Linked DNA regions of Coturnix japonica. The main gene of each other region encodes a partner of the protein of the gene in region 4 in a complex. Links are inferred from orthologs where the notes say so. Each region holds a gene or a part of one and is shown on either strand. Other genes may lie near its edges. The genes, in order: SERPINC1, FGG, FGA, F2 and THBD.

Region 1 (4,018 bases), on a different chromosome or scaffold from region 4:
CATTCCCATTTTCTGCACTGGTGTGAGGGCTCCAGGATGCTCAGCTACACTTAAAACCAACTTGAACTTCTGTCAAGGTTGGCTGCTAAAAGAGATGTGAATTGCTGCAGTCTGGCTGAAGGAGCCGAATGGGGAGTTTGGGGAAACCTGCCATTTTTTTTCCTCTGGCCTCCTCAGGGATGGCTCTGCCCAGCCATCAGCTCTGGGTTGTTGGTTTGATCTGGACCAGCAATAAATTGCCACTTACCTACTGCACTTAAGATAGGTATTTATCAGCTCTCCCATGGGGTTTGGTTTGGGCAGCTGATGGGTCCCTTTGGCGCTACGCTGGGTTTGGGAATAAATACTTAGAGGAAGTCCCCAGCTTGCCATCTTCTTTCATTTTGCAATTAGCCTTGCCTTTAATAGGGCTATCATGGTAAAGGAGGTGTTCCCATGCTCTGTTCTAGGCATTCTGCCTGCTTGCAGTGAGCTGCAGTGCTGCTGTGCCTCATCACACTGCTGAGACTTAATTCCCACAGCTTGAGCTGTGTGGGATGTGCAGAACACAGTGGGTGCCTGCTCCCATTCCATGTGGCATCGAGCTGCCCCGCAGCACCAGATGAAGAGCCCCTGCTTGGATACAGCACACTTGGCTGGGAGCAGAGAGCATCTGATTCCTTCTGAAGGTCCCAGGGCTGTGAGCACGTCTCACCTCGGCGATTACACCAGCACTGCTGGGAGCACAGTGAGCAGCGCAGCTGAGCCCTTCCTTGCAGCACACAGCTCACCTCCTATGCCCTCCTGCAGTTCTTGGCTGCTTTGCATTGCTGGGTGCTGCTCGGAGGTCACAGTGTGACTTCTGTGCTCACTTTGTCCAAAGACAGCCCTGCTGTAGGATGGGTGAGAGCAAGAACAACATGTGCAAGACTGATGTGTTGGGCACAGCCAGTTTTCAGGTGGTACTTATGGCCGTGGGCTGTAACCCAGCCCTGCTTTGCAGGCCCTCCTCTGCAGCCAAGGACCACAAGTGCTGCTCCTGAGCTTTTTCATGAGTGGCTAATTATTTTATTGGCAAAGAAGGAAGGCACCCAGCGTTTCTAAGGGGTAGGTGGTCAAACTTTCCCTTGTCAGATTGAACTTTAAAACCTCTTTCAAGCCAAACATTGCTTTTTTGTTTTCCTGCTCTTTGTTTAACCTTCTGCAGCGGTCATCAGCCTTTGGCCCCAGCATCCTGCCCCCAACCTGCCTGCTGCTGGAGCACGGGAGCCCAGTGTGGAGCTGCTCTGTGTGTGTGGGTCTTGAGCACTCCTGTCCTCCTGGGGAATCTGCATTTGCATCCAGAACACAGGAGGCTGGAGGCACCAGGCTGGGTAAGAGAAACTATTTCCACTAATGCTTCATTTTTAACTGAACCCACTGCTCCATTTGCCTGTTGAAGGAATTCAGGCTGCTACCAGACTGCAGCTCCTCTTGATCTGGGGCTTCTGCTCACAGCATGGGGAGCTTAAAACATCACAGTTCCCATCAGGGAGCAATTTGTGCCCAGCTCACTGATGGGCTGTGCTTCACCTCATTTCTTTGTGGCATTGCTTCATGCTGTGGTGAGCACCAACCCCCCTGTCCCATGTAGGAACAGCACTGGTCTGGGGGGGGGGGAGCAGGAAGGGTTTTCTGTCCATCCTAATCACATTGAGCTGCTGGGCCCAGAGGAGTGCAGCAGAGATGCACAGATAGCAGGGGTGAATGCAGCCTTTGTTGCAGGACGAACGCAAAGCAGTGGGGGCACACGGGCTGTGCTGGCCACAGCCTGGCTGTGGGATTAGGAGTCCCCACATTTGCATGGAGCCCTCTGGTTTTTAGCTGAATCAGCAACTTGTTCCTTAGTTTTCTGTGCTTCTCACAGGGGTGACTGAAGCAGGACAGCCAAGCCCTTCCCCCTTAGTGTTCTCTTCCCTGCCAGTAACCCTTCCCAGGCAGCCATTTGCTGTAATGCTTTTGGGCTCCCTCCAGCTGATGTGTGGTGTGGACAGTATGAAAGGGAGGCCCCAGGAGCTGCTGGGGGAGCAGGGCAGCTCCCAGCCAGCGGTATGGCATGCAGCCCTGTGGGTCTTGTGTTCCCCTTCTGCTGTGTGCTTGTGCTGGGTATGCTGGGGGGCTGGGTTGGCCCCAGGGAGCTGATATATCAGATTGAAGGGGCTAAGAGCATAAAATCCCACATCCCCTCTAAACGGATGAAATCTGAAGCTGGGACGGGCTGTGGGATGCTCAGCAACCAACCGCAGGGCGTGCAGTGCAGCAGGATGGGGCTGAGAGCCCGGTGACCCTCCTGCAGGAGCTGGTATTGGGAAGAGTGGTGCTTCCTGCAGTGCTCCCACTTCCCTTCCTCCTGCCTGCTGTGGTGCTTTCAGGGTCAGTCTGTTTGACTTCCCACCCCTTTCAGGCTTTGCCTTCTGTGGTGCTGCAGCTGTTCCATGCATCTGTCCTTCACCTTCTTGCAACAGTGTGTTTGCTTTTACCACTCAGACTGGCTGTGTTCTGAGCAAAAACATCTTGTTGTACACGTCCTCTTGCAGTGCTTGCTGCTGCACTAACAGTTTGTGCTGGTGAAGGCCCCCAGGCTCAGTACAGCCCTGGTGCCAAATGAGGTAATTTCTGCTTTCATGGAAGAGCTGCAGCCCAGATGAAGACACAGACTGGTCTGGGTTGGAAGGGACCTCAAAGATCATCCAGCCATTGCATAAGAGTACAGGCAGGGGGTTGTGAAAGAGCCCAGAGCTCCCCACATTGCTCTGTGCTGCCCTGCTGGATGCTGGCAGCTCTGGCGGTCATTAAAAGAAACCTTCCATTTCCGCACTGATGGGGCAGCACAAGGTGACAGCAGCGGTGGGCACATGGAGTCTCACACCCTCCCTGCCCCCAGAGGAGCCATGGGGACATGAGCAAACCCACTGGGAGTCACACAGAGGGCATCTCTGTGCTGCAGTGCTGATCAGCCCTAGGGTGGCCAGTAATGTGCTGCTGGGGCTGGTGGGGATCTACATCCCCTGTTTGAGCTTCCTGCATCAGCAGTTAGAACAGGGCAAGGCTGAGGTGGGCCTGAAATCACAGCTGGAAACTGAAATGGCAGAAGAGCTCAAGGGAAGGAAGGAAACAGAACTGGAGAAGGAGGTTCCCCCAGGAAAAGGGGAAGGAAACCATCTAAAGCACTGTCTGAGGGCTCTCCGCTGCAGGGCTTGGGGCATGGAGTGCTTTCCCAGGAGAGAGAGCAGGGCAGGGTCTGTACAAAGCAAAAACGTGACTGCAGAGCAGAGCGGACTTTGGCAGCTTCCCCATAGAGTGATCAGAGCTTTGATCTATGTGTTTTTGCACCAGTTTGTCAGGGCTGCTTAAAGAAAGGACACCCGTGGCTCTGGGAAAGCACTGTTTTCATTGTGCTGTTTCTAAAAGCAGGGTGTGCTCAGAGCTGTGCTGCTCTGCTGGGGCTGTCCCGGTCCATCCCACAGCTGCACTACAGGAGGGTGATGGGAGAGGGCTGTGATGGTCCCTATACCCCAGTGCTGGCTGGGCTGGGGGCTCTCCGGGCAGGTGGGCGCACACTCAGCACTCCCTCTGTTTCCAGGACAATGCAGCTCTTCCTTGTGTGTCTCTTTGCCCTCTGGGGCATGGCTGCCCCTGTACGCTATGCTGTGGAAGACATTTGCACTGCGAAGCCCCGTGATATCCCAGTGAACCCCATCTGCATCTACCGCAACCCTGAGAAGAAGGCCCAGGAAAGTGAGGTGCTGGAGCCGGGGAAGGGCCGGATCCCGGGGTCCACCAACCCCCGTGTCTGGGAGCTGTCCAGGGCCAACTCGCGCTTTGCCGTCGTCTTCTACAAGCACCTGGCCGATTCCAAGGACAACGAGGAGAACATCTTCCTGTCACCCCTCAGCATTTCCACAGCCTTCGCCATGACCAAGCTCGGGGCGTGCGGTGACACCCTGCAGCAGCTCATGGAGGTTAGTGGCATATCCTCAGCCTTCCCCAGAGCTGCTAC
Region 2 (2,752 bases), on a different chromosome or scaffold from region 4:
GTAAAACATAATTAACACTACAATTTTATTTTATTTTTTGGTCTGAAAATGATGCTGAAAACATTAAAATAAGAAGTTAATGAACGTAGTATTCAGGTGTAATCCTTGTACACTGTAGTACTATGTGCTATATAGGAAGCCAAACATGTATTCTGAATAATATTTGAGAAACCAATATGCATGCTTTGGAGTAAAATATCTTTGTCACTGATAGTATACTTCCTAACCTGTGGTATGCTTGCTTAAGTGGCTTCAGCAGTAAACTAGATCCCTTTCAAGTTGCTGTGTACTTTGATCTGTGTCACAAATTGACAATTTCATCAGAAAACAAAGTGAAGGCTGTTGAAAGCTAACCATGTTTTATGGAGAAATAGCTCCAACTCACACTTCTGAATAAAGAGAAAGAATAACTGAACCAGATTTGATCAGAGTACCCTTCCAGCAGTCACAGTGTTTAGTGTGTTGTGTTTGGTTAACAGTAGAACACAAATAGCAAGCTCAGCCTTTCTGTAATAATCAAAAATTTATTGGGGATGTGTACAGAAAAAAATAACCATATAAAGCGGTAAGCACTGCTCAAGGAAAACCGTTGGGCATTTTATAGTCAATGATATCTTACAACACTGATGTCCAAACTGAGGAAGGTGAGATAAGTTCAGTGTCACACAAATAAAAGATTTGTTTTCAGATCAATCTTTACTAAATTGTCCCTTTATGAGTCTCCAACCTGCAACAGAAAAAGAAGAAAAAAAGACAGTATTTCAGTGTTCTTCTAAGGAAAGATGAAGAACATAAGACTTGATAATTATATGTTGATAGTGTTTACGCATAATTATACTAATTGGAAATTTAAAATTCAGCAATTAAAACAAATGAAGACAAAGAATTATTTTTAGTCCTGGGATGATCTACTTATCTATTTGTTAAGAGAAACAATGAAGAGGAAGGTATAACTAAAATCAAAACGCAAATATTTCTGTGACAAAATGGTAAACAAAGCTGATGCCTCTAAGATGCAGTAGGCATAACATTTCAGCTGTCCATGCTCTGTACTTGCAATTATAACCAGATTTTATTGCTATTTTAAATATCTCCTCTGTCCAATGATCAAACCTGCTTGAGGCCTCCTGAGTGTTGCTGTCCATCTATTGAGAGTCTGTTGAATGGGATGATTTTCATTGTAGTTTTCTTCATGGAGTACCATCGGTCACGCCATGTTGCCCATATAATGCCATTGTCATATGAATCTGGGTCACCATCTCTAGCTGAGTACACACCACCTAAAAATATCAATTTGAGAAAAACATTCAGTTGTTTCTACATGATTAATGTGACCATCCCATTTGTAGTTGTGGTATCAACACCTCTATGGCATCCCTGGTCACACTAACAGGCTGCACACAGTGCTGCTCTCCCTCTCTTTGTTTCTATCAGAACCAAGGATTCCATTCTGGGCTGGAGAACTGCCATAAACAGGTGTTAATATAAACAGTCATTGAAAAGAATGGACCACATCAGCTTTGGAAAAAACAGGTGGCAAAATATACTCAATGTCATTGAAATGTGGTGTACTTGGTTACATTTGTCCATGTGAAAATAGGTACTTAGAAGATATTTTACCTATATAATATTTTCCATTGAGGTGACCAGCGTGGCATCTGTTCATCCACCATCCAGATCCATCTTGCTCAGCACAGTTGCCCTCAAATTTGTCATTGTCATTATCGTAGGTGCTGAAGCGCATGCCATTATGGTAGGTAAAGGATTTGTCACTTGGATCATCTCCAAAATTAAAGCCATCAAAGGCATCTCCAGCATCACCACCAATAAAGTAGGCATAGGTCAATCTGTACTTGTCTTCTTCAGATCCCACTTTGAATACCGCATAGTCAGCAGTGCTATTAACAGAGGATAATAGTGAGTATAAGCATGCTGCATTCCTAGTATGTTCACAAATGAAATATACACAGATATTAGAACAGCAGAAAAGGGATTTAGAGCATCCTAGCATGTAATTTTGTAAAAGGACTATTGTTAAATGATTGTGCACTGGTTCAGTGACAGATATCCAATTTTTGTCATCCACCATTAGATGTATTTTTTGACTCTACTGTTCTTCAGTGATGCACAGAAGACCTACATTATACACCTACATATGTGTTTATCTCCCAAGTTGCTACAGCTTAGGCTTACTCGTGTCATGAGGAAGTTCTTGGTGGGAGGAAGAAATAGGTATCTCAAGAAATAGGAAAGGTAGTAAGCCCTCCTGGAGGACTGAAGACATAAGTGAAGAAACTTTGAAAAGAAGAAACAGATCTATTCTGCCAAATCAACTACGGTTTCTGGCTTGTGGCCTTCAGACATGTACACATGAGGGCTGCTGCCACAGTTGTGAGTTCATAGAATCATAGAATCACCAAGGTTGGAAAAGACCTAAAAGATCACCCAGCCCAACCATTGAGCCCACGTGGCATCTTATGCATCTTGACACACCTAGTAGTGCCATGCTTTTTTTAAATCTGTACAAACTAAAACTACTAGAAAAAGCAGTAGGCTTTAAGATGCCATTTTCAGAGGCTTCATGAACAAATACCCTTTATTGCCGGACCAGTCCTCCAGCTCTATTCGTAAGGTGTATGGCAGAGTGGACTGCGTAGTTATTAAATGAATCTTTTCATTGCCCAGCCAAAATTCTGTGGTGTCATCTGGAGACAGATGTCCAAATCCTTCCTTGTACTGAACCCAGTTTCTC
Region 3 (4,178 bases), on a different chromosome or scaffold from region 4:
TTATCCTGGTCTGTGTCATCAATTAATCCTTGCATTCTGCAGCCTGATGGACATTTTATACCCTAAAAGAGGAAGAGAAATAATTGTGCTAAAATCTTCATGAATCTGTCTTTTTGTTTTTTAAATCAATACCCAGCAATTAAAACACTCTAATATGACTTAGGGCAGTATTATGTGACTTCTTCTGTCCTATCCATCCAATGACTTTGACAAGGGCTTGTATGACTTGGAGCAGGACACCTCACGGCTGACCCCTTCACATCTTGCACCTCTGACACTGGTGCATTGGAATTGCTGAAATGTATGCATAGAATCCTGTTTCAAGTGGTGACAAAGGAACCTTTAATTTTCACTTTCCTCTGTTCCTTAAGAGTAGAAACAAAATTAAACAAAACAAAAAATAACAATAACAATATTAATAACAACAATAATAAAAGCAAAACAATAATCTCACCACATTTATTTCCCAAAGGGCTGCTGTAAAGGGAAGTTAGATCCAGCTTGATCAAGGGTGACCTAGGCTCATTCATTTAAGCAGAATTATCCTCAGAAAATCCCCTGCTCTTATACGTTATAACTCTTAGGCAAGATTGCATCTTCTAAATGTAGCATAGATATGAGTTGAGATGCAGGAGGCAAGAGAGAGACAAACCAACAGTTCATACACAGACATTCAGTCAGCCATTGGGAAGCTTTTACTGAACATCTTGTCATCAGACCTCCTAAACCAAGGGCAGGGGTCCTTGTGTGCCCTGCTGTCCCTATGGCTCATTGCTCACCCAGTCATCGTCCGCACAGATCGGCCAGTTCTTCTCATACTTGCAGGAGGACTGTTGCATGTGCTCCACAATCCTGGGGCCACGCACACCTGCTCCCTCCTTTTCAAAGGTGGTCTCCCCATCCTGAGCCTGCCGGGAGGAGTAAAGAGAAGAGCAAAACTGAGAGTGTTGGAGCACTGGTCAAGAAAATGGAAATGAAAAGCTGACATCCTCAAGCACTCAGTAGCACTGCAGCCTTGTGGAATGCATCATCCAATAGTGGCAAGGCGTTTCTTGTAAGACATGGTTTTGTTTGTTTTGTAAGAATAAAGCTTTTCCACTCTTAAAATTAATGCTCATATGGAGAATGGATGGTGCTTAGAGTATGATGATAATGATGATATCTTTACAAGATAATCCTGAGCTTTGTATGTAAATGCAAAATTAGCTTGAAATTAGATTGAAGTTACTTAAGTTAACTTTGAAACATCTTCATTCCATTTTCACTTGCTTTCATATTCTTAAATTTTTGTTTTCATCCTATTCCTTCTGCCTACTCAAAACTGGCTTGAAGATATGCATGAATTTACTATTTCCATTCATTAGTGTTTCTGTTTTTAGTCCTATAAGCTCCTAGCACTGTTTTGCCTGACATAAAGAACAAGAATACTAATAGCATTGTAATGAAAATAATAATGTCAGTGATGGATGGTTTGCACTTTGTTAATGGAAGGAACAGAAATAAATGAACTGAGATTTTTCTTGAAATCTGAGAAACCAAAGTGCAATTATACCAGCTAATTCTAAACCAACATGCTGTAAGGATTCTTACTGCATTATTGCTTAGTAAAGAACTGGAAAATAATTCTTTTTCATAAAATGTAAAGGAGATTGCTTGAGATCTAATTAGGTCTGCCTAGGTTTTTCTTCATATGCATTACGTTCTTAACAAACAGTATAATTCATGCCAAAAAAGATGTATGATTAATTCACATGCAGAGAGAGTGTTCCTAATTACAGCCTTCAGAGCCAGAACCTCAGCCCTGTGGAACTGGAATGTCATTATTTAACTCAGCAGTTTCACATTGGTTCAATTCATCTTGGCCAAAGAGTCCCCTAAAATAACAAATAAAATATTTAATTTTAGGTCGTCTGTGCCCTTTAAGCACTGGCAGCTCCGGCAGAACTGCTTGTGTTTAGCCAGATCTGCTCCCCATAATTTCTGCAATTTGTGAGAGCATTTACTTTCTTCAAAATACAGTCGTAAAGAAGACTAACATGAGATTAATGGCTGAAACATAAGTGAAAAAATGTCAAGGATATGTTAGTATAGTTGAAAATTATGATTATCACTTTCCTCATCTAAAAATTTCTTCTTGCTTATCTTAGGTAATAAATGTTTCATTATGTGTTGCAATATAATAGACCATAATCTATTGTCATCTTGCTTGCATTCTAGTTTAATTTGATGTTGCTGCCATAAGAATCACTGTTTTCAAATCGGAATTTCATAATAAAGCCATTGTGCATCATTTGTAGCTAGAAAGTGCAGTTGAAGCAAACTGAGGAAGTAGAAAAGGAAAGTAGAATTAAAATAAACTTGAAAATTCCTGACTGTCTGGAGCCTCCAGCATCCAATTCAGCCAGCTTTAAGGCTCACAGCAGCACCTGTGAATCTATGAATTCGTGTTATTTGCTTTGCAGAAGGCAGGCGGGTACAACAAGACTGAATTAATCAAAACAGAACTGGATATACAAGAACTGCTGTCATGAAAGAGCAGCAGTGAAGTAGTCACACTAGGCTTGTGCGTATGTGTGTGCACTGAATTTGACAAGATAGGTGCCAGCAAACATGCATCTAATTCATGCAGATTAAATAAACTCTTACTCTTCAAATCAGCAAGGTAAGGAAATAATGAAGTAAGGAAACTCATACCCAAGCTAAGTTGAGGCAGAGCAACACACAGAGTATCTTCACTGGTATCATCTTCGGAGAAGAGCGAGCAGAACTGTGGATGAGAGGATTCTCTCCTCTGGTCTTTTTGATGCAATTTAAACCTTGCTGAAGAGCAGAGATTAATCATTATTCTCCCTTCTGTTTGGAGACAAAACATGTCAAATGTCCTGAGTCGATTACATAAGGCCTCTTGCACAAGTTTCTGGTGTTATTTGCTCCAGATAAATTTGTACAGCACCACCATGAGGGCAACACCATGTATTCCAGGAAAGAAAAAAAAAAGCATATCAGCTTCAAGCTTGATTTCTTGTAAATTGTTGTTCATCTAGGGTGTATGTGGGTCCTAGCAGGAGCCAGCAATACTTAACTAATGGAAAACACATGTTGTGTGGCGGGAATTTAGCGAATACAATCAGGCAGTTGATATTTGAAAAAAAAAAAAGGCATTGCCCTTTCTTTGAAGCTCCATGCTCATGAAAACCATTGGGCCTTCGGAAGCAAGTACTAGTGTACTACCTTTTGTTTCCTCCCATGTCTGGCTTTGCATTGCATGCTTCTCTTGTCTCCGTAAACCCTCTTAAATTAGAACGGAACTCATGTAAACAACACTAACAGTGAGTTGTATTCTCAAGTTACAAGGAACAGAGCAGATCGATAGGATGGTGCTACGTTGATTTAAGTCACTGATTTACACCTACACCATCATTTGTATGACTGGAGGTTTCTGTTATATTTAAGGCAAAATCTTACCCGTGCATACTTGGAAAGAAAGTTTTTTGTTGATCTTAATTTCCTGCAGCTCCTTTTGTGAAGTGTTCTGTTGAATTCTGTGCAGTGCCACTAATACCACAATACAACAAAATAACAAAATTCTTCTCATTTCAGAAGCAGAAGAGCTCAGCTAACTTCAGCAACCCAGGTCTGAGCAGACTCCACATTATCTTTACTGTCTGAGGATCAGCCAGCCATGTCTGTTCTGTCCATAAGGAAGCTCCTGAACTCAAAGCAGACAAAAGTTACGCACATAAATGCTCCACTGCCATTCTAAGCTATCCTAGCATGTAATTTTGTAAAAGTGTTATTTTTATGATTGTGTGCATTAGTTCAATGGCACACATACATAGTCCACTGCTAATCTCAGCAGCAAGACTGAAGATGCCTTCCCAGTCCGAGTCCTGTGCAGTTTTGTTCACTCTTTTGTAATGGTGCTGTGAAAGAATTATAACAATCTTAAAGAATCATAAAAAGCTCAGACAACAATAAAATGCTTATAGGGTGAAAAGATCACAACAAGAGGAAGAATTGCAGGACTGTGATGAGTTATTTAAAAGAATAGATTTAAATGAGCTATATACAACATCTGCCAGTTTCCACAGACAGTGTCCCGTTTGCTCTAATGAGCTATAATTTGGCTTATGCAGTTGACATCAAAGTCTCTGCTTGAAGATCACAGCCTTATGCCT
Region 4 (4,140 bases):
CCTTGCTGGAGAAAAGCTGGGATGTAGTGCTGAGACATACCACATACTGGAATGGGACACTCCTCCCGTTCCACTGTTGGGTCTCGTGTGTAGCACCACGGACCTCTTGAGTTGTTGTCTGGGTTCCTGCAGTAGTTCTCAATGAGGTTGGGATAATTGGAGGCGTTGAATCTGTGAGGAAAGGGTGGTTAGGCTATGAAGGAAAGGCACCCTGGAGAACACTGCAGGGGAAAGCAAGAGATGAACTTACTTAGGTATATGTGGATATTTGCTTGTCCACACTTGACATTCAATGCCCGATTTGGTGTAGCTAATTGTCCCCCGATAGTTCTGGCCCAGATTAACAGCACAGTTACCTGTCAAAATCCCCAAACAGGTGAGCCTGGGTCAGTGGAATGGATGTTGTATTTTTCAGTGTCAGAAGTACCACAGATTCCTTTAACTTTGTGGATGTGTGTGAGCCTGCACAACCATGGGCATTCTTTTTGTAAGATGGGAAGAGCACATCACTTAAACTTGCTCTGCCTTATCAGATGGAGCTCTCCCCGAAGCTCTGTGCTTTGCTTTGGCTATAAGGCACAGGCTAGAGAAGTTGGCCTCTGAGAGGCCAGTCTAACCTGGAGCTATACTCAAGACCACATTACTTTGTCACAGGGATAAGGGTATCTACCCTATGCCATTTCAATGGAGGAGTAAGGCAGTTTGTAAAATAGATAATGGAGAAATAAAGAACAAGAAAGGCATTTAAAACTCCCCTTGTTATTTTTCTTTCTTGCCAACTTTAGATTATTTTTGTTTTTCCTTCCAAAATCTGCATGAAGCAAATTCCTGGCACTCAACGTATCTGGGATCTTAAGATCTACATTCACTTCTTACCTTCTAGACAAGCATCCAGAGTTGTCCTAGGCATCTTTGTGCCCTGACATACTTGCAAAATAAGAAGAAAGAAGCACGTTACATGAAAGAATCTAAACAAGCATCATGGTTTGAACCAGATTATCATCTAGGGACAAAACACAAGTGTTTTTCTTGGTGAGTGAGCTCTTTTAAGAGGGTAGGGAGCCATTCCTCCAGGATGGGTTATGGAGGAACTTGAAGCAACGTACCTTGGTATTTTGCCCAAAATGCATCCTGTAAAAGCAGAGAAACAGAAAAATCACCGTAAATATCGAGGAGTAGAGATCAGCAGCACATCAGTTTCAGCTCAAAGAGGCTTGAGGCACCTGCGCTCAAAATTTGTTTGCTGTCAGCTGTTCTTTCAGTGTCTGGGCCTGTGGCTGTTGAAATGTGTGTGGCACCATAGTGAACTAGTAGATGAAGATGAAATTCTTATCTAATGGGGTTGAGGGAAGGCTCTGTTTTATTTCATTTCACGCTTAAAATAGAGAGGGAGGAAAAAGAATTTGAGATTTGTGGTGCGTTTCCAAGAGTGGCTTTAGGAGGGAATTTCCCTAAGGATATCTTGTCTCCCCCTGGGTGACAGGCACAATAGCTTTCCATCTATAGCACAAAATTGTCTGTTATGATCCCAGCCCCTGGCTGTCTGTGACCCACGTGTCTCACGGCAGGAGCTGGCTGCAGGACACCGATGTGGCCTGTGACGTACCGTGTCAACAGTGGATTCAAGGGCTTCAAAGGCCTCTTCGTAATTGCATGTCTCCTCCAGGCACTCTCGCTCCAGGTTTCCTTTCATCATCTCTTCCAGAAATCCCTTGTTGGCACGTCGTGGACGCTTGAGCAGTGACAGTGCCCGCCCCTTTTCCAGGAAAACTACCGAGTCAGAACACTGCCAGTCAAAGGGATGCTCATGGTGGGAGGGTCCCTGTGTCTCGAAGTTTTCACTCAGCTGGTGTAATGCTCCCACAGCCCAGCCTCCCCAGCTCACCGTACAGATAAGGGAAGCTTTGTCAAGGACCTGTGAGGTCCACAGCTGATGGTCAGAGCAGCCTCACTATAATTCATCTGTCAGTATTGGCTTCGTCCAGGTCACAGAAGTGACAAGAATCTTCTGCTATCCTTGGCAAATCTGCTCTGCTAGTTTGTTTGTTTGCTTGGAGCTTGCTACTGCTGTCTGTCAACCACTGAATTTCTATCTTGCCAATTTCAGACTACTGCAATAGGCATAGGTAAAGTCAATCTTCATCTTCACAGGCCCTGATCTGAGACCTGTGACAGGTCTTGCCCCACACAGCAGTGGGATAGAAAGGACCCGAACTCATATTAAAAACAAGTAGATGAAGTAGAGGCTCTAGTAAAAGAAAAAGGAGCAGTAAGCAGGAAGGCTGCGTACTGTGTATGACCTAAACTTCAGATAAAGGATGGCTGGAGAGGCAATGCAGAGTTGCAGCCAGTGGGGTGAGCTGAGGAACTAACAAGCCCCACAGCTGTGCTACACGGGGTCTTGTTCTGAGCCACATTCTCCTCCACCATCAGTCAGGTGACCTGTGAAATCCACTGGGCTGTTGTCACAGCTTTCCCTGCCAGCTGCTGGGTGCTGCTGCATCCTCCTGGGCAGGGAAGCAAAATACTCACTCTCCTCTCTGCACCCTTTCACTCCCAGTTACAGGCTTTTAGAATCTCCTTCTGCACTACCTGGAAAACCCTCTACAGGCTTTACCACCCGAAGGAATTAAGCCCATCCTCCTTCCTTAATCACCCAGTACTGCCCATCTCCCTGTGTTCTTACCTCCATCGTGGCTCAAGGTGAGGTGCAGGAGGCTGAAAAGGAGCAGGCCCTGCAGCATAGTGGCTTTGCTATGCACCATGCTGCACAGCCCTGGCTGCAGAGGAAATGCAAAGGGAGCAGAATAAGTGGAGTCACAGCCCTGCTGGGTTAATATTAAACCAGAATGAAGAAACAGGACTCCAGAGGTCATGGTGTGTCAGGGACAGCAGGACTGAGGCTCCTCTTATCCCTTCTCTCTTGGCATCTTTCCCTCCCTCTGGGGCATTTTCATTTTCATACTTAATTAGTGGAAACCAAACTGAATGTCTTTGGACACTCCGCCACACTCCAGATTAAAATTAGCATCCCAGTGTATAACATGGCATGAGGATTAAGAGGATACGTTTGTACCAGGGCACAGGGAGAGCTTGGGCTGGTAGAGAGGTCCCTGCCAGCTGCCCCAACCCAAGCAGCTCGCTGCTGCTCTCTGTGTCACCCTGCTCTCCTGCAGCTCTTGGCATGACTGCTGCGTCCCCATCATCAGGGCTTGGTTCCCTGCTGCAAAATCTTCTTGGATGCTGTACTCTAGCAGCCTCACATGTAGCAAGACTTGGAGATCTCCTTAGCCATTCCCAGTCCTCCTCCTGTTTTTAGTTGCAAGTTCCATCCCTTTCCCCCATAGAGTCCAGCTGTCTTCTCTCCCCACAGTTATCAGCAGGTTCAGTCTGTTATTTGGCACGAGAACACACAATTTAAGTTTCTTCCATCTCCCTCACCCATGCCAAGTAGCAGAAGGGGTGCTGGCTGCAGTCTCTGTGGATTTTCAGTTTTCCTCCCAGTTAGGTCAGTAATGCCATCCTCAGTGTATACTTCCCGTGGCATTATAATTCCCAGCGGGGTGGAGGAGGGTGAAGTAGTTTGAAGTCTGGTCTCTCCCTTCTCTTCCCACGCCAGTGGAACACATTAAAGTACATCCAGAAGGAAACAGAAGCTGACAAGCAAGCAGCAAGCACACCAGAAACAGGCAGAAAAACAAAGGCTTGTGGGAACAGGAAGGCAAGAGTTATATGGGTGCCACAACATCAGCTAACAAGCAAGTCAAGAGTTGAACTACCACAGCTGCGAATGCTGTAGTGATTCCTACATGCAGAAAGTTGGAATGGTGAGAGAACAGCAGAAAACAGGGCAGGGTTGGAGTAGGCTCAGAGGCTGCTACAGGGCATAAATGTGGTTTCTCCCAGCAGAGAGCATGTTTTGTTCTGTGCCTCTGTGCAGCAGATACAACTGTAATGTTTGTCTCCATAGAAGGAGTGCAAATATTAGCATTAGGGTGGCTCAGGAATGACTCTGTGGCCGTTGGTACAAAGAGCAGTTGCAGAGGCTCCCGCCCTCATCTAACAGGAGTATCCCTACTCTCGCCCACCACACCTGGATTCTGGAAAGACACCTTTGGGAAAAGCCAGAATGACCTGTGT
Region 5 (4,304 bases), on a different chromosome or scaffold from region 4:
GAGGGGGGGGTCAGGCTGTAGGGAGGGCAGGAAGAACAGCTCGTTCCCAGGTTTCTATAAATCAGACAGTAAAAGCTTTATTGGTCTGCACACAACATCACGAGGTGATTGCGCGTGGCGTAGGGTATATTTCCAATAAATAAATAAGTATTTACACATGTGCTGGGTGTATAAAACAGTGGGTTCAACCATTTACATCAGGAAAGCGACAACTGGGGCAGTGTGGAGCTGGCGTTCATCTCAGGGGCTGCTGCATTGCTCTGTGCCTGAGGGGCACAGACAAACCTCAGCTCCAAGCCCAAAATCCCATCTGAAAAGCTTGGCACTGTGGCAGCTGCCCCTACTCGGGCACAGACCCTCAGCACTGACAGCCTCGGGGGCTGCTTCAGGGATCTTCCCCCCTCCAACTCTTCTTTCCCACCCCATTTACCCTCCAGCCCACACCTGCAAAGCAAGCAGCAAGGTCCGGAACACAAACATCACCAGGAAGTTTTGCCTTCAACATCCACACAAATTCAACTCATCCCTGGATGAAAAAATTTAAAAAGGATGAAAAATATAAAGGAAAAACACAAGAGGAAAAAGGCACAGTATCACCAGCACTGGAAATGCCCTTCCTACAAATGACCCCAGTGCTCCTGTAATACCCACTGCACCCCCAAACAGTCCCCAAATGGTGGGAGGGGAAAGAAATCAGCACTTTAACCCCACCACGGTGAGCTCCACGGGGTCCCTGCACTGCTGGCAATCTGAGTGCTCCGCTGCCAGAGGTCCGTATGCAACAGACACGGGAAACACAAGAAGCCAATGACACGAACTGCTTTCCTTGCTTTCTCTTTACAAAACCAGGGGGGTTACAACCAAACGTTACCCAGTTCCATCCGTCTCCTGTGCATCGCCAGGCTCCCTACACCTTCTGGCTGGCGGACACCTGCTGGAGCCCCATCTCCTTCTCACGGGGGCTGCCACACTTGTACTCCATAGAGCTGGGGGGTTGGCAGCGCTTCCTTGCCAGGTGGTAGCCGACAGCCAGCAGCACCAGAGCCCCACACAGCACGCCCACTGTGATGCCCACCAGAGCCCCAGGGTGCAGGTGCTCTGCCTTGGGTGGGACACGGCTGGGGAAGGGCAGGGAGGGCCCAGAATCTCCTGAGTACTCATCCACGTTGTCCTCCATTGAGATGGGTTTGCAGTCGTTGACATCAACGAGCACATAGCCAGGTTGGCAGTGGCACGTGTAGCTGCCGGGCGTGTTGGTGCAGTTGTGGTCGCAGTAGTTATTCTCGCACTCATCGATGTCAACGCAGAGTGTGACACCATCAGGCAGGTGGTCTGTCACAAAGCCATCGGGGCAAACACAGGAGAGGCCGGTGGCATCGCACTCAGCCAGACATCTGCCATCCTCACATTGCCTCACACACTGGGTGGGATTCTTCAGGTCGACAACATAGCCGTCATCACAGCTGCAGCGGTAACTGCCGGGCACGTCCTCGCAGATGTGGTCGCAGGGGCCAGTGCTGCAGTTGGGGACGGGCATGCAGTGCCCTTCCACCATCTCGTAGCCACGGTGGCAGAGGCACTCGAAGCCGCCCTCGGTGTTGTGACAGACCTGCTCGCACACCTCGGGCACCTTGACGCAGTCATCCACGTCCTGGCAGCTGCTGCCGTCGGGGCCCAGCTGGTAGCCCTCGGAGCACATGCAGTGGAAGCTCTCCCCGTCGGGCACGCAGTGTTGCTCGCAGGGAGCACCGGCGCATGGAGACAGGCAGCCGCGCCCGTCGGGGCCGAGCTTTTTGCCGGTGGGGCAGGAGCAGCGCGGAGTCCCATCCAGTTCTTCGCAGCTTCCCTCGCAGCCGCCGTTAGACAGGCGGCACGGCCAGGCGCCCGGCTCGGAGCGGCCCCACCTCGTCCTCCCTCCGACGGCCGCAGCCTCGCAGAGCAGCTGCAGCCCCATCGGAGAGACGAACGCGGTGGAGCCGGGCGGCAGGGCCAGGAAGTCGCCGCCGGCGGCGCCGAAGGGAGTGCGGTAGGTGAGGGACGCGCCGTCGGCGGCCGGCAGGCGGGGGCAGCTGTCGGGGTAGTTGTACTCGCAGAGGAAGCCGTCGGCCGGCTCCTCGCAGCGCCGCTCCTCCCAGCTCAGCTCCCGGGACACCGCCACGCACAGCTGCCCGCAACGCCGCCCCGACGGCGCCCAGTTGTCGTAGTCGGTGCGGGTGTCTCCGGTCACCCACTGGAAGCCGCGCAGCCTCCGCTCCGGCTCGGTGCACGGGGTGGGCAGCCGCAGCCCCAGCCACAGCCGCCCGCCGCGGTTCCGCAGCAGCAGCCCGATCGCATCCTCTGCCACCGTGGAGCGCACGGTCATCAGGTGGCCGCCGTGCCGCTCGCAGGCCGCGCTGGCAGCCGCGAAGGACCCCGGAGTCCAGAAGACGGCGAAGCAGTCGTGCTCCAGGCACTGCGCCCCCGACGGGACGGGCGGCTCCAGCTCGCCGAGTCCCAGCCCCAGCCCCAGCCCCAGTCCGGCCAACAGCAGCGGCAGCGGGAGCCGCCGCATGGCGGGCGGCCGGCGCGGCGAATCTCTGTCATGCCGCCGACCAGGGCGGCCGCTTTATAGAGCTCCGGCCGCAGGAAGGAAGCGCCTCCGGGGACGGGCCGCCGCCGGGCCGGGAGGGATTGCGGCGGGGGCGGCTCCGGCGCGGAGGAAATCCCCGCGAGTCGGGAGGTGCTGCTGGGCTGGGCCGGGCCCGGCCGGGCGTGACCGCGGCAGGGAAGGGGAGAGACGGCCGCCCCTTCGGGGATGCGGGAGGGAAAGGGAGGAGGGGAGAGGTGAGGAGGGGGGAGTTGTGGGGAGAGTAGAAGGAAAGGAGGCGGGGATAAGGGAGGGGAGAGAGGAGAAAAGAAAAACAGTAGAAGAGTGGAGATAGATTTAAAAGAAAAAAGAAAGAAAATAAGTGAAAATAAGAAAAGAGAGGGTGGAAGGAAAGGAAAGAAAAACTAAAAGGAAAGGGAAAAAAAAGGAAATATGAGGGGAAGGGAGAGGGGAGGAGGAGAGGAGGAGGAGGAGAGGAGGAGGAGAGAGGAGAGAGAGGAGAGGAGAGGAGAGGAGAGGAGAGGAGAGGCAGGGAGAGGAGAGGAGAGGAGAGGAGAGGAGAGGAGAGGAGGGGAAGGAGAGGAGAGGAGAGGAGAGGAGGAGAGGAAGGAGAGGAGAGGAGAGAAGAGGAGGGAGAGGAGAGGAGAGGAGAGGAGAGGAGAGGAGAGGAGAGGAGAGGAGAGGAGAGGAGAGGAGGGAGAGAGAGAAAGGGGGGATGGGGGGGATAGAACGAGGAGAAGGGGGAGAGGGGGACATCATAAGAAGGAGAACAGAAGGCAATCGCGGGAGAGCTGAAGCTGCTGCTGGACCCTCCGGGACAGGCAGGAGACAGGGGTGGCGGCACGGGAGGGCAGTGGGTGAGGTGCTGCTTCCTGCCTGAGAGTGGCGGCCGTGGGGGTGGCCCGGAGCAGCCCGGCAGCTTCAGGGAGAGGATGCCGAGTAACAGCGGGACCCCTCGGCACGGCTGTGCGATCCCAACCGCAGGCGGCAGGTGGCAGCGCCGGGGGGACGGACAGTGCTCGGGTCGCTTTTTGAGAAGAAACCGAGGTTTTTTTGTGCGAAAGGGGAAAGTAGGTCCATAAGCTATTCGGGGTTTCGCAGCTTTTTGTTAGCGGGGGACTCGGGACAGCGCTTCCTTGCACTTGTGGGGCTCGATGTCAGCAGGGGTGAGCGGCAATCCCTTTGCGAGCTTCCTTTGCAAGTTTGCAAGGCCAGGAGATTTGAGGTGAGAGGGCAGAAGAACATCCGCTGTGCTCTGCATGGCAGCGGCTACGCACGGAACAGGGCTTGGAATTAAAGAAAGTCAGGTGGGTTTGGAATTAAAAACAATCACGTGGCTCTCCAGGGGAAGGAGTTGGAGGCCGCCTCCTGCTCATGGTTTTATGACAGCTTGGCCCCATCCGTGCTTTTATCCTAGCGGGATCCACCTCTCCTATCAGAACATGGCCGAGAGCAAAATAAAAATGAAAAGCAAACATCTAAAGCTTCGCCACTCAAGGAAAAGGGCATTTGACCCTTCTTTTCAATTTAGTGAGGGATGTTTTCTACTTGGAAGGCTCAGCGGCAGCAATTAGCCCTCGGGATCCTCTGCAGAGAAGCAAATCCATGCTGCTTCACTCCACTCCTTGCGAGGAGGTGACTTTATTACACCCTCCAGCCTGATGTGCCCTCTGCCAGCCCTGAGCAATTCCTGTTGCTCCTGGGAGGCTGCGGGCAT

What was found.
Region 1: the proteins of F2 (region 4) and SERPINC1 are in contact, whole or in part, in a crystal structure (PDB 1TB6), measured with the Homo sapiens proteins. The link is inferred for Coturnix japonica from reciprocal best matches to the Homo sapiens genes F2 and SERPINC1. Residues at the interface, in NP_000497.1 of Homo sapiens: Leu389, Leu390, Cys391, His406, Cys407, Tyr410, Pro412, Trp413, Asp414, Lys415, Trp455, Arg456, Glu457, Asn458, Leu459, Asn506, Thr510, Trp511, Thr512, Ala513, Asn514, Val515, Gln519, Arg541, Ile542, Asp562, Ala563, Cys564, Glu565, Gly566; in NP_000479.1 of Homo sapiens: Lys258, Glu264, Asn265, Arg267, Tyr285, Glu287, Gly288, Lys289, Glu345, Met347, His351, Ala419, Val420, Val421, Ile422, Ala423, Gly424, Arg425, Ser426, Leu427, Asn428, Pro429, Asn430, Arg431, Val432, Lys435.
Region 2: the proteins of F2 (region 4) and FGG are in contact, whole or in part, in a crystal structure (PDB 2HWL), measured with the Homo sapiens proteins. The link is inferred for Coturnix japonica from reciprocal best matches to the Homo sapiens genes F2 and FGG. Residues at the interface, in NP_000497.1 of Homo sapiens: His450, Pro451, Arg452, Arg461, Arg486, Ala489, Ala490, Leu493, Ile530, Val531, Glu532, Arg533, Cys536, Asp546, Asn547, Met548, Phe549, Cys550, His605, Phe607, Arg608, Leu609, Lys610, Lys611, Trp612, Lys615; in NP_068656.2 of Homo sapiens: Pro439, Ala440, Glu441, Thr442, Glu443, Tyr444, Asp445, Ser446, Leu447, Tyr448.
Region 3: the proteins of F2 (region 4) and FGA are in contact, whole or in part, in a crystal structure (PDB 2A45), measured with the Homo sapiens proteins. The link is inferred for Coturnix japonica from reciprocal best matches to the Homo sapiens genes F2 and FGA. Residues at the interface, in NP_000497.1 of Homo sapiens: Phe382, Lys384, Ser385, Gln387, Leu423, Arg425, Tyr434, Glu439, Lys440, Ile441, Ser442, Met443, Lys470; in NP_000499.1 of Homo sapiens: Trp52, Pro53, Phe54, Cys55, Ser56, Asp57, Glu58.
Region 5: the proteins of F2 (region 4) and THBD are in contact, whole or in part, in a crystal structure (PDB 1DX5), measured with the Homo sapiens proteins. The link is inferred for Coturnix japonica from reciprocal best matches to the Homo sapiens genes F2 and THBD. Residues at the interface, in NP_000497.1 of Homo sapiens: Phe382, Ser385, Pro386, Gln387, Leu423, Arg425, Thr432, Arg433, Tyr434, Arg436, Asn437, Glu439, Lys440, Ile441, Met443, Lys470; in NP_000352.1 of Homo sapiens: Ser424, Cys425, Glu426, Cys427, Tyr431, Ile432, Leu433, Asp434, Asp435, Thr440, Asp441, Ile442, Asp443, Glu446, Asn447, Gly449, Phe450, Asp479.

Annotation. Positions count from the first base shown.
Region 1 is NC_029523.1:4,512,226-4,516,243, reverse strand, and holds the start of SERPINC1 (antithrombin-III), read left to right. Parts: upstream 1-1,215; 5' UTR 1,216-1,352; intron 1,353-3,601; 5' UTR 3,602-3,605; coding exon 3,606-3,980; intron 3,981-4,018. UniProt on the Homo sapiens protein: Most important serine protease inhibitor in plasma that regulates the blood coagulation cascade. AT-III inhibits thrombin, matriptase-3/TMPRSS7, as well as factors IXa, Xa and XIa. Its inhibitory activity is greatly enhanced in the presence of heparin.
Region 2 is NC_029519.1:18,080,997-18,083,748, forward strand, and holds the end of FGG (fibrinogen gamma chain), read right to left. Parts: coding exon 2,594-2,752; intron 1,899-2,593; coding exon 1,621-1,898; intron 1,281-1,620; coding exon 1,114-1,280; intron 728-1,113; coding exon 713-727; 3' UTR 505-712; downstream 1-504. UniProt on the Homo sapiens protein: Together with fibrinogen alpha (FGA) and fibrinogen beta (FGB), polymerizes to form an insoluble fibrin matrix. Has a major function in hemostasis as one of the primary components of blood clots.
Region 3 is NC_029519.1:18,074,476-18,078,653, forward strand, and holds the start of FGA (fibrinogen alpha chain), read right to left. Parts: upstream 2,802-4,178; 5' UTR 2,746-2,801; coding exon 2,695-2,745; intron 909-2,694; coding exon 780-908; intron 63-779; coding exon 1-62. UniProt on the Homo sapiens protein: Cleaved by the protease thrombin to yield monomers which, together with fibrinogen beta (FGB) and fibrinogen gamma (FGG), polymerize to form an insoluble fibrin matrix. Fibrin has a major function in hemostasis as one of the primary components of blood clots.
Region 4 is NC_029520.1:20,933,986-20,938,125, forward strand, and holds the start of F2 (prothrombin), read right to left. Parts: upstream 2,805-4,140; 5' UTR 2,766-2,804; coding exon 2,687-2,765; intron 1,771-2,686; coding exon 1,607-1,770; intron 1,132-1,606; coding exon 1,107-1,131; intron 928-1,106; coding exon 877-927; intron 357-876; coding exon 251-356; intron 172-250; coding exon 41-171; intron 1-40. UniProt on the Homo sapiens protein: Thrombin, which cleaves bonds after Arg and Lys, converts fibrinogen to fibrin and activates factors V, VII, VIII, XIII, and, in complex with thrombomodulin, protein C. Functions in blood homeostasis, inflammation and wound healing.
Region 5 is NC_029518.1:4,429,612-4,433,915, forward strand, and holds THBD (thrombomodulin), read right to left. Parts: upstream 2,806-4,304; 5' UTR 2,552-2,805; coding exon 908-2,551; 3' UTR 52-907; downstream 1-51. UniProt on the Homo sapiens protein: Endothelial cell receptor that plays a critical role in regulating several physiological processes including hemostasis, coagulation, fibrinolysis, inflammation, and angiogenesis.